2 linked regions of the Pelodiscus sinensis genome follow. The protein of the gene in region 2 interacts with the protein of the main gene of each other region in a pairwise test. Links are inferred from orthologs where the notes say so. Each region holds a gene or a part of one and is shown on either strand. Other genes may lie near its edges.

What was found. The genes of interacting proteins can lie anywhere in the genome.
Region 1: the proteins of HOMEZ (region 2) and DEF6 interact in binary tests that used the Homo sapiens proteins (3 or more experiments, as listed by UniProt). The two-hybrid records come from large-scale screens. The link is inferred for Pelodiscus sinensis from reciprocal best matches to the Homo sapiens genes HOMEZ and DEF6.

The regions. Positions count from the first base shown.
Region 1 is NC_134737.1:12,263,793-12,271,270, forward strand, and holds the start of DEF6 (differentially expressed in FDCP 6 homolog), read left to right. Parts: upstream 1-4,390; 5' UTR 4,391-4,816; coding exon 4,817-4,912; intron 4,913-7,478. Other genes in the region: ZNF76 (zinc finger protein 76), read left to right, coding at 397-549, 638-751, 1,573-1,677.
Region 2 is NW_027465928.1:42,043-49,902, reverse strand, and holds the start of HOMEZ (homeobox and leucine zipper protein Homez), read right to left. Parts: upstream 3,047-7,860; 5' UTR 1,359-3,046; coding exon 930-1,358; intron 756-929; coding exon 642-755; intron 1-641. Other genes in the region: PABPN1 (polyadenylate-binding protein 2), read left to right, coding at 4,862-4,943, 5,899-5,966, 6,052-6,158, 6,252-6,339, 6,545-6,696, 6,888-6,927. UniProt on the Homo sapiens protein: May function as a transcriptional regulator.

The sequences.
Region 1 (7,478 bases), on a different chromosome or scaffold from region 2:
GGCCTCTGAGGTTGCCGCAGAAAATGAACTAACTGCCCCCCAAGAGCGTGAGAGAAGGAGCTTCAAGTGGGAGTGAGATGAGGCTAAGTGATTTGAGGTGGGAACGGGGAGTAGGATTCCTGGGTTCTAGTCCCGATTCGGTCACTGACTGCGTGTGATCTTGGGCACGTCAGTTCGCCTCTGTGCCTTGGTCATGCCTGGAGTCATGGTCTCTCCCTTCCTCACTGGAGTCGTGGTGCCAAGCTCAGGACTAGAGAAAGCCAAGTGGGCTGCAGAAGAGGGATGGGCAAAGGGCCAGCTCATATCCCATGTGACCACCTCTGCCCAGCAGGGCAGCTGGTGCAAGCTGAGTCCTGTCTGCCCTTCGATGGCCAACCATTTGTTTTCTCGTCACAGGTCAGTCTGTCCCACGAGGACTTACAGGCCCTGGGCAGTGCCATCAGCATGGTGACACAGAGTGGCACCATCGCGATGCCACAGGAGAACCTTGCGGCTTCCGGCACGCACACGGTCACGATGGTCAGTGCGGACGGGACTGAGACGCAGCCGGTAGGGGTTTCTTTCTGCGACTCGGGGCGGTTCTGGGTGCGAGGAGGCTCTTTGCGCCGTGTAATGTCTTTGGCTGTATGTGTTCCAGGTTACTATCGTCACTGCGGGGGCAGTGATGTCGGAAGGGTCAGCCATCGCGTCCCTCCATCACCAGCAAGTGGCATTGCTAGCCACCGCCAGCGGCACTCACATTGCAGTGCAGGTACAGGGGGACACCCTGGCCTGGGCTGAGCTTCACTCCTGTGCAGTCACCCTGCTCTGATTCCCACTTGCATCTCCTTCGGACCTGCCCCCAGGGGGCTGCTGCAGCACCCAGGTCTCCTGGCTGCCTCTGTGTCCCTTTCCTCTATGTTCTTTCCTTTGGACTCCCCTCACTTTCCTCACCAGCTGTGTGCCTTGGCCGTGTCTGCTGTTGTTTCTGTTGGTGGCCTTTCCCCCTCACCCATCTTCTTCCCCCTTTCAAGGGATTTGACAGTGCCTGCCTCGCTTACAGCAGCAGGCCGGCCCTAGGGGGATGGAGGCCTGGGGCAACCCCCTGCAGGCCCTGATCTGCCCCTTTCCTCCTGCCCTGCGCCACACAAGCTGGGAGATTACCAGGGGCTGGGTGGCTGAATCAGGCTGCACCAGGCCTGTCTCTAGGGCAGTGGAGGTGGCCACCGCAGGGCCTCCCAAAGCGTGAGGAGTGGGGCAGCTGCCCCAGACCATCTGTGCAGCCGTCTCCTCAACACGCAGAACTCCATTACTCCCCACCCCACCTCTCTCTGCTGTGTTCCACTTCCTCTGCACCTGTTGCCTACGCCTCACATTCTTCTCCCCTACATCGGACTGCACCCATCTTCCTTCCCTCTGCTTGGCCTCAGCACTTGGTATTTCTCTCTCCTTTGCACCCATCTTCCTCTCCTCCCACCTCGCCCCAGCCCCTGGCATCTTACTCTGCCCTAGGCTGTCCAGGTCAAATACAGGCTGGCTCAGCCTTGGAGCATGGGAGAACGATGCCATTCATTTGTGTTTCTCCTTTCATAGCTGGAAGAGCAGCAAAGCCTGGAAGAAGCCATCAGCATGGCGACAGCAGCAATCCAACAGGAGTCTGTAACGCTCAGTGCAGCTGTGTCTGAGAACGGGTGCTGAGGCATCGGACAGTCCATGGGCAGGGAGCCTTGAGTGGGGCATGGATGGCAAACCAATGGACCCCTGTGTTCGGCTGGGGGTTTCAGGATCTGAAACAGCCGTGCCAGCTGCTGCATGGAAGACAAATGAATGCGTGGTACCGAATGCAGAAGGGGGGGGCCGTGATAACTTACGTGCATCCGTCTTGCACCAGGCAGGCAGTGAGAGCAGATAGGGGACCCTCTTTGAACAGGTCTCCTATAGCTTAAGTGACATCTTTCTAAGAAACCTGGCAGCTGGCTTTTGGCTGGAGGCTTCAGAGCTTTCCTGGATCCTGGGCAGTCACTCTGCTGCCATCTGGGACTATCCTGCTCATTTTCCGTGGACGCTAATGTCCCTGGCTCTGGAGAAGACATAGAAGCTCTTGTGCTCCTTTGTGGCCAAGAGTTGGAATTCCAAGGCAAGATGAGCTGCAACAGCCTACGTGGCGCCCGGGGGCATCAGCAATCATTCCAGGGAGGCAGGGTCTGCGCGCTCCCACTAGGTGCTCGAGGAAGGAACCCAGAAGGTCTGACAAACACAAGTGTCGTGTAAGCAGCATCTGCACAGAAGCAATAAAGCCCCCTCACAGCAACCTCAGGCAGTCCTGGTCTCGGTGTTCTCAACGACGATAACTCCTTGACGCTGGAAGTCGGAGCTTATCTCCGGCCCACGCTGTGGGCCTGCCACGGGCAGGATCTGCCTTAACCTGGACACAACGGCACTTCTCCCTCCACCCTCCCCATCCCCCTTCCACGCAACAGCCAAGCTCATTTCCAGATTCCGCTGCTGTGGGGCCGGGTGTAGGACTCCACGTGGGCAGGCCAGCACTTCTCGGGGGCGCAAGCTAGTTAGATGTAAATAGTGAGTTTAAATAAAACTAATTAAAGTTTTTTTTAATTTCCTTTCTCTTTCTCATTCAATCCCTGCAGCCCATGGGGGGAAGAGGGAGAAAGTGGGAAAGGTTTGATATGTACTTAATAAAGCTGCTGAGTTTACACACTTTGGCTCTGCCCTGCATTGCCTTAGGGGCTTGGTCCTCTGTGTGCCTTAGCAATAAACCTCCCCCAGACTTTCCAGGAGCTTCTTTCTCTTACAGCAGCAATGGGCAACCTAGGCTAGCGAGTTGGCCTCCTTCCGTGGGCCACAAGGTTGTCATAGCCAAGACAGGCTCCCAGGGTAACAGGTTTGCGAACGGCGCTTGCGTACCTAGATTTTGCAGGCTGTGCTGACTGACCTGGGGCAGTGGTTCGGACACAGAGGGAGCGCACGGCTCTCATGGTCAGTGTTGTGGGCAACCAGCGCACACCTCACTTCCCGTAGCCTGGCTTTGCATGCATGTCACTTTAGTAACGCTGGTAGGAAAAAACCCGACGTGAACGGAAACCAGCAGAGTCTGGCCCCCCTGCCTGTGGGAAGTGGTAAACAAAATGCCCGGTGGGCCGCACACAGAACTCCGATGGGCCGCATGCAACCTGAGGGCCGGAGGTCACCCACCACTGTCTTATAGGCAGCTGCTAACATTTCGATCCTGTTGGATCCTCTAGTAGGCACTAACGAATCTCTCCCTAGGTGACTGAGTCTGGGCTTAGCCTGCAACTGGGCTCATGGGGGAGTTAAAATTTCTCTCTCTGCTCATTGGGCAGTTGCTAGGCACCTCCCAAGTCCCCTTCGTTTTTTATCTAGAAACATACGCAGCCCTTGTTAGTATCTGAGCGCCTCATTGATCAGTTTATTCTGCCCCCAGCCCTGTGAGTTGGGTCTGGGTGGTTATTTTACAGACGGGAGCAGCTGAAGTTTAATTGACTGGCCCAAGAGCACACAAGAAACCATCGGGAGTAGGGAGCAGTAAGGGTGTGGACAAAAGGACATGCCACTGGCTTCTAAGTCTTCACCATGGGTAGTCCCAGGAATAGAACCCAGATCTCCTAAATCTCCATCCATGATCTTAGCACAAAGCCATTCCTCTTCCCTGAGGACTTGGCCAGTCCTGTTTTTCAGCAGGGAGTCTCCAGCTCTGCAAAGACTGTAAAAGGATGGCCCAACACCTGACTCCCCTTCCCTTCCCTGAGACCATGCTCCTTCACACCCTTTCCCCCACTCTCCAGCCAAGCCACGCCCACCCCAGCTGAGGGCCAGGGCTGCCGTGTGGCATGGCCTCAATCTTTCTGGACCGCCGGGGATCCAGGCTACCAAGCGTCCCCCAGCCCCTCCCAGGCAACTGGGCAGTGCAGACAATTTGGGAAGGCAATGCTTTCCCTTGCCTACATCACCTGCCGCCCATGGGCACAGGGGTGTGGGAACCTCTTCCCCCTCCCCCTCGAGTGCAGCAAGCTATAGCACTGCAAAGCGCCAGTGTGACCCAGGCTACAGCACTGGGAGCCTACTCCCCTTGTGGAGGTGGTTTACATAGGTCACTGGGAGCATTCTCAGCGCTCGTGCCGCGGTCATGCTTTGAAGCGCTGCCGCGGCTGTGCTTTAAACTTTTAAGTGTAGACAAATCCGGAGTTACTGCCCAGCCAGCCACCTGCCCAGCCCTCAGCAGTTCCCGCTCCCTGGGATTCTCCGGTCTGGTCTCAAACTTGGGCCGAAAGCAAAATTTGTCAGGCAAAGGGCTGAGAAATTTCGCATCTGTTCCCCTTTTGTGGGTGCGGGGAGGTGCCATGCCCAGCAGCGGCTATTGGCAGAACACATGTAGCAGCTGCAGGGCACTGGGAAGTCCCGCTGCCAGATCATTAAGATGCTGTCTGATCAACCAGGCTGGCTTTAGACCCAGCTAACAGATCAGCCAGTGGCTTGAGCATGGCCAAGTGCTGGTAATATCCAGTCTCAAATCCTGTGTCCAGAGCTGAGATTGTGCCTAAAATGTGGGGGTAGGCGGTTGAAGAGGCAAGGTAATGCAGAGTCGAGTGAGGTGGACTGATGCCCCGGTGCAGGGCAGAAAGGGGAGTATCTTCATCTGGCCAGGCATGGGAGTGCTGTCGGGCCTATCCGAGGGGCAGTCATCAGATGGCGCTGCTGCCCCTCAATTCAGGATTCTGAGGCCTGTTGGCACAAGAGTCAGCTTCCTGAAACCGGATCCTCGTTGACGGAGCAGGCGCTGTCATCTGTGCCTCTAGCCATGGACCTGCGAGCCGAGCTTTTAAAATCCATCTGGTACGCCTTCACCGCCCTGGATGTGGAGAAAAGTGGCAAAGTGTCCAAATCCCAGCTGAAAGTGAGTAGAGAGACGCGGAAGCGACGGGGAGGGGCTCTGGGGTTTCTGAGTCCCGATCTGCTCTCTGCTTTGCCCTTGGGGGGGTCACAGCGCTGTTGGGAGCACGAGGCAGAGCTGGATGCTGCTTTGCAGCTCTGTAGGCTGCAGTGGGGATACAAAACTCACATTGCGCATAGCCAGTGCCACGGCTTATCCCGGGCTCGGTCTTTGATTGACGTTTGTGTAAACGAGGGGCAAAGCGATGGGGTCTTCCCAAAGAGCTGAGTTAGGAAGTAGCCCCTTTCTGGGGTGGAAATCTTCCAATCTTGGCCACTTTCACAATGTTTCTCACCCACCTTAATCCCAGGTGAGGAACCCACTTTTTTTTTTCTTTCTCTGTCATGTATTTGTCTCCTTCCTGTTGCATTTCACCCCCTCCCTTGGCAGGAAGAACATTTTAAAAATAAACACTTTTCAGTCCTTCATGGTTTGACCAAAAATAGCTTTTTTTTTGGTTTTACCCTGATCACCCATAAGCTTCAAAAAGGCTCCTGAGTTGTATGGAGCCCCAAACCCATTTTCCCTCGTTTTTAAAAATGTTTCTTCTACCTACGTTATTCAGCTCAGTAGACGCCAATGAGAATTGCAGGATATCTGGTTTAGCTGTAGATCCCTGGGTCTGAAGAATTTGGTCAGCATTTTTGTAATGTGGAACGCAACCTGCGAGGTAAACACACACAAGACTGAAATATTGCAACAGAAGGAAGTTGGCAGTTGCTGCATGTACGTGTGATGAGTTTTGATGTGCCACAGCCTCATGTATGGAAAGTAGCCAAGTACCCCGCCACCGAATAGCAGGGAAATGACTTGTGTTCTCTGAGTCAAATTCTGCTAAACTCAATGGGAGTTGTGCCTGGGTAAGGGCTGAGAAATTAATGAAAGTTTTGGCTTTCTGTTTTGTGGAGAATAATCGTGCTTCTAAGAACCCTACTTGACACTTGAGGTGTGTCTAGACTACATGGCTCTGTCGATGGAGGCATATAGATTAGACAGATCGGCAAAGGGAAATGAAGCCGCGATTTAAATAATCGCGGCTTCATTTAAATTTACATGGCTGCCGCGCTGAGCCGACAAACAGCTGATCAGTGAGGCCACATTTATAAAGAGATTTACACACTTAAAGAGGCAGCTGGGTGTCTGCCGGGACTCCCAAAGGCGCCTGAGTTGGGCACCTAACTCCCTTTGACTTTCCTTGGGAGCTGGGCACCTCACCCGCTTGGCACTTTGGCAAGCCCTAGTGGGCACCCTTCTGCAGGCCCGCTTGCACGGCTCTGGGCTTGCAAAGTGCAGCGTTTGGCTTCCGGGATTTTTACAGCTGGTGCCATTTTTCCAGATTTGCTCTTCAGAGCAGAATCCAGGTTTCCCTCCCCCACCATTTGCCTCTCAAGCCCTTATTCCCACGTGTGTCGGGGTGAGAACGTCGACCGGCCAGTGAGAGCAGCAGCCTCCTGGCGCTTGCCCATACGTGCTGTGCTGGGGGTGGGGATGCCTTTTGTTTTGTCCCATGCTGGGTCTCGCCACGCTTGAGAGTTTCAGCCTGGCTGTGGGCAGGGCGGAGAGATCAAGTCTCTCTTGGTACCAGGTATCCGGCCGTTCCTCTGGCCTAGATTTGTTTCTGTCCCACCCACGCCTGCTGCTTATTGCTAATGACACCAGAAATGCCAAGCCATCAGAGCAGAGGTTGAAGAAAACCCTGCCCTCGGGGCATAGACCCCACGTTATCCTGAGTGTCCCCTGCTGCGCTGGCATAGTCTGACAGTCAAGTGCCATGGGGGGGTCTGCCGTTCCTGCAGCCTTGCGTACTGCTGCAAGGAGGCTTTCGATCAAGGGAAGAAAGCACCCCATAGCCTTTAAAGCGACAGCTGTCCCTGTCATCCTGGGGGTGGATTATACAAAAGCCAGGCCCCTCTTGCCAGTCCCAGCCATCGCTTTTGGGCAGTGAAATGTAACAGTCTCTCGCTCTGTTCCCGCCACCCACAGGCCTGGCAGCAGGGGATGTGGTAAGCTCTTGGGCTGAGCGTCGTTCTCTCGACTCCGGGCATGTTTCATGTATTTGTGCAGGAAGGAAGGGTAGTCTTGCGGTTAGGAACCGAGTCAAGCGCTCTGGGTTCTGTTCCCTGTGCTGCAGTAGAGCAGGTGTGATCTTGGACGAGGCAGCGACCCTCTCTGTGCCTCACTGACCAGCTCTGCACGCATGGGTGTGGCTGTGGGGTCCCCAGCCAGATGGCTGGGAGGGATGAGCCTACCCAAGACAGAAGGCACCCGGAAGCTGCAAAGCGTGGTGGCGTGTCGCATTGCACTTGCCCTCGTGTGATTCTGCTGATTCTTGCCTTCTGTACCCCGTGGGCCAGGGAGAGACGAAAAGAAACGTGTGGCCTCGGAATTTAAATGCTTCACGTCAATGTTCCCTCTAATTTTTCCCCTCTACGTGTGAATAAATGTTTTACATGCGCTGAGGCATGTGCCAGTGTGCACCACTAAAATCTAGCTGTGGGTGTTCTGCTTGCTAATCGGCTGGGTGGCCGCA
Region 2 (7,860 bases):
ACTGCTGTGTGCAGTAGGGGTGCAGTGCCATAGGGCAGGGGGTGGTGACCGATGGGAGGGGGCATGTCTTTGGTCTGCACCCGCCCCCATCCTAGCCCAACCCTCCTCCCAACCCGCGATTCCCCTTTTATCCCCCCCATCCCCGTTCCTGCCCCCATGGCCACAGGGCCCTAAACTTCGAACCCTCCTCCCCCCCCCGCACAGATCCCCCAGAGGATCTGGAGGCTGCAAGTGGGGCCTCCCCGTGAAGTCTCTTCTCCACGAGGGGATGGCTGTGCACCCCGCTATATGAAGTGGATCCAGCCACCCTCTCCATCTCGTGGGGGGCTGGGGGGGCCCTCGGCCCGCCCCCCGCCCCGCAGGACGTAGTTCTGACCCTCGTTGTTGTCCCACAGCTCCTGGCCCCCCACGTGGCAGTGGAGGGCGAACTCCAGGGCGCCCCCGGGGGGCAGCGGCAGGCGGAAGGCAAAGCGGTCGGAGGGGGGGCCGGCCAGGAGCCCGGCGGGGGGCCCGGCGTAGGCGGCGGGGGCTTCCCGGTAGCTGGCCCAGCCATCCCAGGTGTAGCGGACGCTGACTCTCTTTTCGTAGGCCAGGTTAAGGACCCGCAGGGTCCCCGCCACCCCCAGCCCCCCGGCTCGCACCCCCTCGAGGCACACGCCCTGCGCCCCCAGCCGTGCCCCGAAGTCCGGCAGTCCCAGCGGGTCCCGGAAACACGGTGCCAGCGGCAGGCGCCCTGCCTGTGGGTCCTGGGGGTCCTGGAGAAAGCCAGGGTGGGGGGAGAAAAAGAAAGAGAAAGTTAATGTGCAGTTTTCCACCTTGGAGCCCAACGCCCCCTACTGGGGACCTGCCCCCCAACTCTTGTGCACATCCCTCCACTGTCTTCTCCTCCCGTATGCTCCCCCCCGCTTTCTCCTGCCCCCCCCCATTACCTGGCTGGGCGAGAAGAGGGGCCGCAGGGGGGCGAAGTGGCGTAGGGTGTCCTGCCGCAGCTGGGTGTGCACACGCTCCGGGACCTGGGGTAGCTCGGCTGGCCAGTAGCGCCTCACGCTCACCAGCTCCAGCCCCAGGGCATCGGCGAAGCGCACCCGCTTGCGGGCGCCGGGGCTGCGGCTGCGGGAGCCCCCCCCAGGCCCTCCGGCCGGGGCGGAGCGGGCCCTGCGGCGCCGGTGCCCCCCTCTGCCACCCGCCCGGCCCTGGCGTCCCCGCGGCCTGGGCCCTCGCGCCCGCCCCTCGGCCTCTGAGTCGGAGTCGTCGCCCAGGCTGGGCCGGACCGTGCGGTAATATGCCCGCTCGTACAGCCCCGCGATGTAGCTTAGGTTGCGTGGGATGTCACTGGCGGGCGGGGGGGCGCGCGCCATGGGGCCTGGTTCGGTCCGCGTGGGCACTGGCTTCTTGTGCCGCTCCTCCCGGGTGCTGAGTCCTTCTGCGACCGTCCCAGCCCCTGCCTCGTTCTGTCGCTCTGCTTGGAGGCTGAGTCCTGCGACCGTCCCAGCCCCTGCCTCGTTCTGTCGCTCTGCTTGGAGGCTGAGCCCTGCGACCGTCCCAGCCCCTGCCTCGTTCTGTCGCTCTGCTTGGAGGCTGAGCCCTGCGACCGTCCCAGCCCCTGCCTCGTTCTGTCGCTCTGCTTGGAGGCTGAGTCCTGCGACCGTCCCAGCCCCTGCCTCGTTCTGTCGCTCTGCTTGGAGGCTGAGTCCTGCGACCGTCCCAGCCCCTGCCTCGTTCTGTCGCTCTGCTTGGAGGCTGAGTCCTGCGACCGTCCCAGCCCCTGCCTCGTTCTGTCGCTCTGCTTGGAGGCTGAGCCCTGCGACCGTCCCAGCCCCTGCCTCGTTCTGTCGCTCTGCTTGGAGGCTGAGTCCTTTTGTCACTGGCCAAGGCCCTGCCTCATTGTATTGCTCGGTCCAGACGTTAAGTCCTTCTCTCACTCCGTCTGGGCCTTGTTCTAACTGTCAGTCTGAGCCCTGCCTGGCTCCATCGCTTTATCTGGCCGTCACTATCGCTCCACCCAGGTGCTGAGTCCTACCGCTGTGTCTGGGCCCTGCCTTGTTCTGTCGCTCTGTTTGGGAGCCAACTCATTCTATCACTCCTGGGCTCTGGCTTGCTCTGTTGCTTTATCTGGGGTTTGAATCCTGCTGGCTCTCTGTCCACTCTGCCGCTCAGTCCATCTGGGCTGTGGCTTGTTTTATTGCTCCGTCATGGCGGCGGCTTGTTCTACCGCTTCCTTGTTGCTGCCTTCCTCCGTTGCCTCTTCTGGAGGGTCCGAGTCTCTCTCTCTGCTGAGATCTGACTCGTTCTTTTGCTTGTCACAATCTTCTGTGTTTTTTCCTTCCAAAAATTCTCCTTCTGTTGCTCCGGCGGGGCGCTTTCTCCTACACCTAACTCACTGCCTTCTGCCTTCCTGAGTTTCTGAGGCTCCGTCTCCGTCTGGCCCCTGCCGTCTTCTATCTGTTGGCCTTTGCCTGCTTGTTCCTTTCCTCCTCAGAGTCCGAATCTCTCACGCCAGCCAGATTGGTTTGTTCTCCATGTTCTGCCAGGGACTGGTGGTCTCTCTCTCTCCGTCCGGGGTGCCTCTCGTTCCGTCGTTCCTGCGCCGTCTCCTCCTCTTTCCTCTGATCCCGCTGCAACTGTCTGCCGCTTTCCTCCCTTGCGGACTCTCTTCTTCTCTCAGGGCTGCCTTCGATCTCTCCACCGCAGCTGTCTCATTCTCTCCTTGCCATCCGTCTTTTGGTTGCTCTGGCTGGGCTCTGTGGCTCCGAGGTGGCTTCGCCCGGGCGCGCTCTCCGTCTCTTTCTCCTTCCTCCTCTTTCCTCCGGCAGCCACCCCTCCCTTTCTAGTGTCCCTCCATGTCCAAAGTGGATGGGGCGGTTACCGTAACGTCCCCTCCGCCCAGCCTCCTCTCCTCCCTGTGCCCAGGGATCCCCCTTTTTACCAGCCGGGGCGGGGCAAAGGCTCCTCCCAGAGTTAACCTGGCAGGGACCCAGGCGTCCGGCAGTCTGGGGCCGGGGAGCCAAAGGGCCGAAAATGCTCCAATCTGGGATCAATAATTGATGAGACCAAAGGCAGCTAATGGATCCTGGGAAGCAGGCCAGGAAATGGGGGGGGAGGGGGCAGGAGGGAGGTGGGAATGGGGGGTGGGGGAGGGGGCAGGGTTGGGGGGCAGGAATGAGGGGTGGGGGCTGTGGGGCAGGTGGGAGGTGGGGGAGGGGGCAGGGTTGGGGGGGTGGGGGTGGGGCAGAGCTGGGAAGGGGAGAGAGGGGACCTGGCAGGTGAGGGGTGGGGGCAGGGGTGAGGAGGCGGGGGTCAAGGACCAGAGTTCAAAGGTCGGGGCAGTCTAGCGGGCACTTCCGGGGTTAAATGAGGGCCAGGGGGGTCAAACGCTGGCGGGTCAAAGGTCAGAGGGGCGGGGCCGTTGCGCAGCCAATCAGCGGCTCGGGCGGAAGGGGTCGCAGCGGCGAGGCGGGGCCAACAGCCCCCACCAATCAGGAGGCAGCGCGCCGGAGGGGGGGGGGGGTGAGGCGGCGCTGGGCCAATCAAAGGCGCTAGCCTCGCCCTGGAGCCTCCGGCCAATCCCAGCGGCGGGCGCCAATGAGGGGCGGGCGCATGCGCCAATGGCGTTGGAGTGATGGCGGGCCGGCGGCCAATCGAAAGCGTCGGGTTGGCCCCCCCCGAAGGCGGCCAATCACTTTCGAGCGTGTCGGTGACGGGCGGGCGTCGGCACCAATGGCGCGCGAGCCCCCAGAGCCCTTCCGCCAGGATCTCGCGCCGCAGCCAATCGGACCGGCGGGCTCCTCCGCCAATGGCGCTGGAGACCAGGCGGCTCGGGAGCCAATCAGGGACGCCGGCCGGCCTCCGCCGCTCGCCGCCAATCGGGGACGCGGCCGCCCGCTGACGGACGGGCGCCGGCGCCAATGGCGCGCGAGCTCCGGGGCCCCCGCCGGCCCGCCCCGCGCGGCAGCCAATGGCGCGCGGCGGCGGGGGCGGGGCCCGGCGGCGGCGGCCAATGAGGAGCGGCGCGCGGCGCGGCGGCCCGGGCAGAGCAGCAGGCGCTATGGCGGCGGCGGTGGCGGCGGCCGCGCGGGGCAGCGCCGGGGGCGCGCGCGGGGCGGGGGAGGGGCCCGAGGGGGGGGCCGGCCCCCCCGCGCCGCTGGGGGCGGAGCCGGGGCCGCGCGTGCGGCGCGGGGGGGAGGGGGAGGACGAGGGGGGGGAGCTGCTGCTGGACGGGGGGGGCCGGGCCGGGGGGGGCGCCCGGGGGGGGCCCCCGCACCCGCCCCCCCCCGCCGCCTCCGCCCCGCGCGCCGGGCCCGGGGGGGGCCCCGCCCACCGCCCCCCCGAGGAGCTGGAGGAGGAGGCGGGGCTGGGCGAGGGGGACCCCGGGGACCCCGCCATCGAGGACCCGGTGAGCGGGGGGAGGGGCAGGGGGCATGTGGGGGAGGGGCGGGGGGCTTGGTAGGTGGGGGAGGGGCGGGGGGCTTGGGGGAGGGGCAGTGCTTGGTAGGTGGGGGAGGGGCGGGGGGCTTGGGGGAGGGGCAGTGCTTGTTAAGGGGGAGGGGCGGGGGAATGCGGGGTGGGGCACAACTGAGAAGTGCCCCCTGTGTGGGGGGGATCTAGCACGGGATCTGGGGGGTCAGGGCCAGGATAGGGGGTTGGAGATTCAGTGGCAGAGGGGTTGTGTGTGGGTCAGCATTCAGGGAGTTTGGGGGGCTGGGCAGCAGGGAGAGCCGCAAGGGGGGACTAAGGGCAGCGCTGAGGGGGGATGTTGGCGAGGGTTGTCAAGGGGGGGTGTTAGTCTCAGCCGTGGGGGGTCCCCCCAGCTGACCCCCGTGCCTCCCAGGAGCTGGAGGCCATCAAAGCCCGGGTGCGGGAGATGGAGGAGGAGGCGGAGAAGCTGAAGGAGCTGCAGAATGAGGTGGAGAAGCAGATGAACATGAGCCCCCCGCCAGGCAATGGTGAGGACCCCCCCCCGTGTCCTCTTTAATTTCCCCCTTCCCCCCAGAAATCCCCTTGGACCCTCTGCGGGTGGCGCAGCCAGGGCACGCCTGTGAGCAGCACAGCCATGATTTTATTTGTGTAGGTCCTACGTAAACAGGAACTCTCTTCCTCCCCTCCCCCGCTCTTCCTCCTGGGCCCCTGTGAGTGGTGGGGAATTCTCTGTGTTTGGGAGCCTCCCTGCTCTGGGGCGCATTTGGCACAGGACGACCTAGGTAAATGCTGCTATTTTATTTCTGTAGGGCCTGCATAAACAATAACCCCGCCCCCAATTCCAGCTGAGAGCCCCTTGTGTATTGGGAAGTCTAGAGACACTGAGGAATTATGGCCTCCTGAAAGCTCTTTGTGTAGGACCTACCTAAACGCCACCATCTTCTTTGTGTAAGACCTAAGTACCCAGTACCCCCCTTTGGACTGTGGGGGTGGTGAATCTAGGAGACATTTGGGGGTCACAATTCTGTTTGTGTAGGGCCTATGTAACCAGTAGCTTCCCCCCCCCCATTCTCTTTCAGACTTCTGGGGGGTGGCAATGCTGAGAGCCACATGGGAATTGTGCTTGTTGGATTTTTTTTGTAGGACCTACATAAATACATTTTGTAAACGCCGGCCGTTCATTTGTGTGGGTTCTGTGTAAATGGTGACCATCCTTCCCCTTCAGCCCTCTGGGGCCTCCCAGTGCCACACTCCTGTGCTCGGAATCATTTAGGTAGGTCCTACGTAAATGTTGCCCTATTGGGTTGTTTGCGTAGGGCCTATATAAACACAATTGTTTATGCATCTAGCCACATGAGTTATGCCAGGTAAAGACAGTGCAGGAAGGGGGTGCTCCCCTTCCTATTCTGAAAAAGGGAGGGGCCCCTGGACAGATTTGGGGTACAGCCTCCCTCTCACTAACCCCCCGCTTTGTCTTCACAGCTGGGCCTGTCATCATGTCCTTAGAGGAAAAGATGGAGGCGGACGCTCGGTCCATATACGTGGGCAATGTAAGTGGAGGAGCCATGATGAGGGTGGGGGAGGTTTGGGGGGTTCCAGGGACCCTGTTTCTCAGCCCACGCCCCCCTTTTCCAGGTGGATTATGGGGCGACGGCTGAAGAGCTGGAAGCTCATTTCCACGGCTGCGGGTCCGTCAACCGCGTCACCATCCTGTGCGATAAATACAGCGGGCACCCCAAAGGGTGAGTGAGCTTTCGGGGGCTCTCCTGGGGCGGGAGGGGTGGCTGGGTCCCTGTGCTTTTGGGGTGTCTAACGTGGGATCCCCCTACCCCCAGGTTTGCCTACATCGAGTTCTCCGACAAGGAGTCTGTACGCACCTCCATGGCGCTAGATGAATCCCTGTTCAGGGGGCGACAGATCAAGGTGAGTCCTGCACCCCGAAACCCGGGCCCTGAGCCCCAAGATTGGGCTCAGATCCTCTCCAGGCCCACAGCAGCATTGCCTCAAAGCCCTGTACCAGCCAGAGATCTGTCTCTGCCCCCCAGAGCCTGCCCCACCAACCAACTCTCCTCTGGTCCCCCTTCTCCCTGTCCCTGGGGTGCTCCGACCCTCCTCCTCTGCCCCCCAGGTGATCCCCAAACGGACCAACCGGCCCGGCATCAGCACCACAGACCGAGGCTTCCCCCGGGCCCGGTACCGAGGGCGCGGTTCTGGCTACACCAGCTCCCGGGCCCGGTTCTACAGCGGATTCAACAGCCGACCCCGCGGACGCTCATACAGGTCTGGGGGGCCGGGCCGGCGCAGGGCAGGACGCCTGGGTTCTCTCCTGGCTCTGTGAGGGGAGTGGGGGGTAGTGGGTAGAGCAGGGAGGGGCTGGGAGCCAGGACACCTCGGTTCTTTGGTTGTATTGTCTCTTCCTTTCACCCCCCCCCCCGGCTTATTAACTCGTTCCCTTCTTCTCTCCTCTGCAGGGGCCGGGCGAGAGCAACCTCATGGTATTCCCCTTACTAAAAAAAGTGTTTTTTGGGAAAGAAAAGGAAAAAAAAAAAGAAAAAAAAAAAAGAAGAATGTGACAGTGCTGGAGCAGCCCCGTGGGGGCGAGCCGTGGGGCGCGGTGGGCGGGCGGGGCTGACCGGGGCCAGGCTGGTTCTCTGAGCAGGGTCCTCCTCTCTCCTCCTCTGCTCCCCCTCTCTCTGCGGGCGGCCCCATCGCTTGTCCGCCTGGGTCCTTCCTCCGGCGCGTCGCTTCTCCCCGTCTCGCTCCGGGCGCCCCCTTCCCTCCGGATCCCCCCTCAGCCCCCTTCCCTCCGGATCCCGTCTCAGCGGCGCCCCCTTTCTCCGCCCGGGGCTCCCTTGTTCAGGACACGACCGGATCTTCCCATCTCTTTCCTTTTCTTCTCCCCACGCAGGGCAGGACACACCCCCGGCCCTGCCCCTTCTGCCCCCGCCCGGCTCTTTCCCCTTCTCCGTTCCCTCCATCCGGGCTGGGGCTGTTACCTGCCGTATTTCAGTGTCTTTATCTTTGCAGGTGGCTTTAGCCTGAAGGAATTGTCGAGCCGCACGAAGCTCTTGCGACCAGATTAAATATGGGGGGGGCAGAGTGGGGGGGGCTATTTCCTCCCCCCTTTATTTTAATTTCCAGGCTGGGGGGTGGGGCTAGGGCAGGGGGGAGGGGGGAAAAATAAAAAAAATGTTATGAGGGTGGAAAAAAAATAAAAGATGTTTTTTGGAAGAAAGAAAAGGGGGTGAGGTGATTTGTGGGGGCAGAACCCTGGGGCGGGGGAGCAGGTACCAGCACTCCTGGGTTCGTAGGGATCAAAGTTGTATTTGCCCAGGGGCTGGGCTGAAGCCCTCCTGGCCTCCCCCAACTCACTGAGGGGCCCTGAGCTGGGGGGGGTGGGAATAGGGATCACATGAGGGGTGGGTGAAAAGGGCCCTTGAGGTT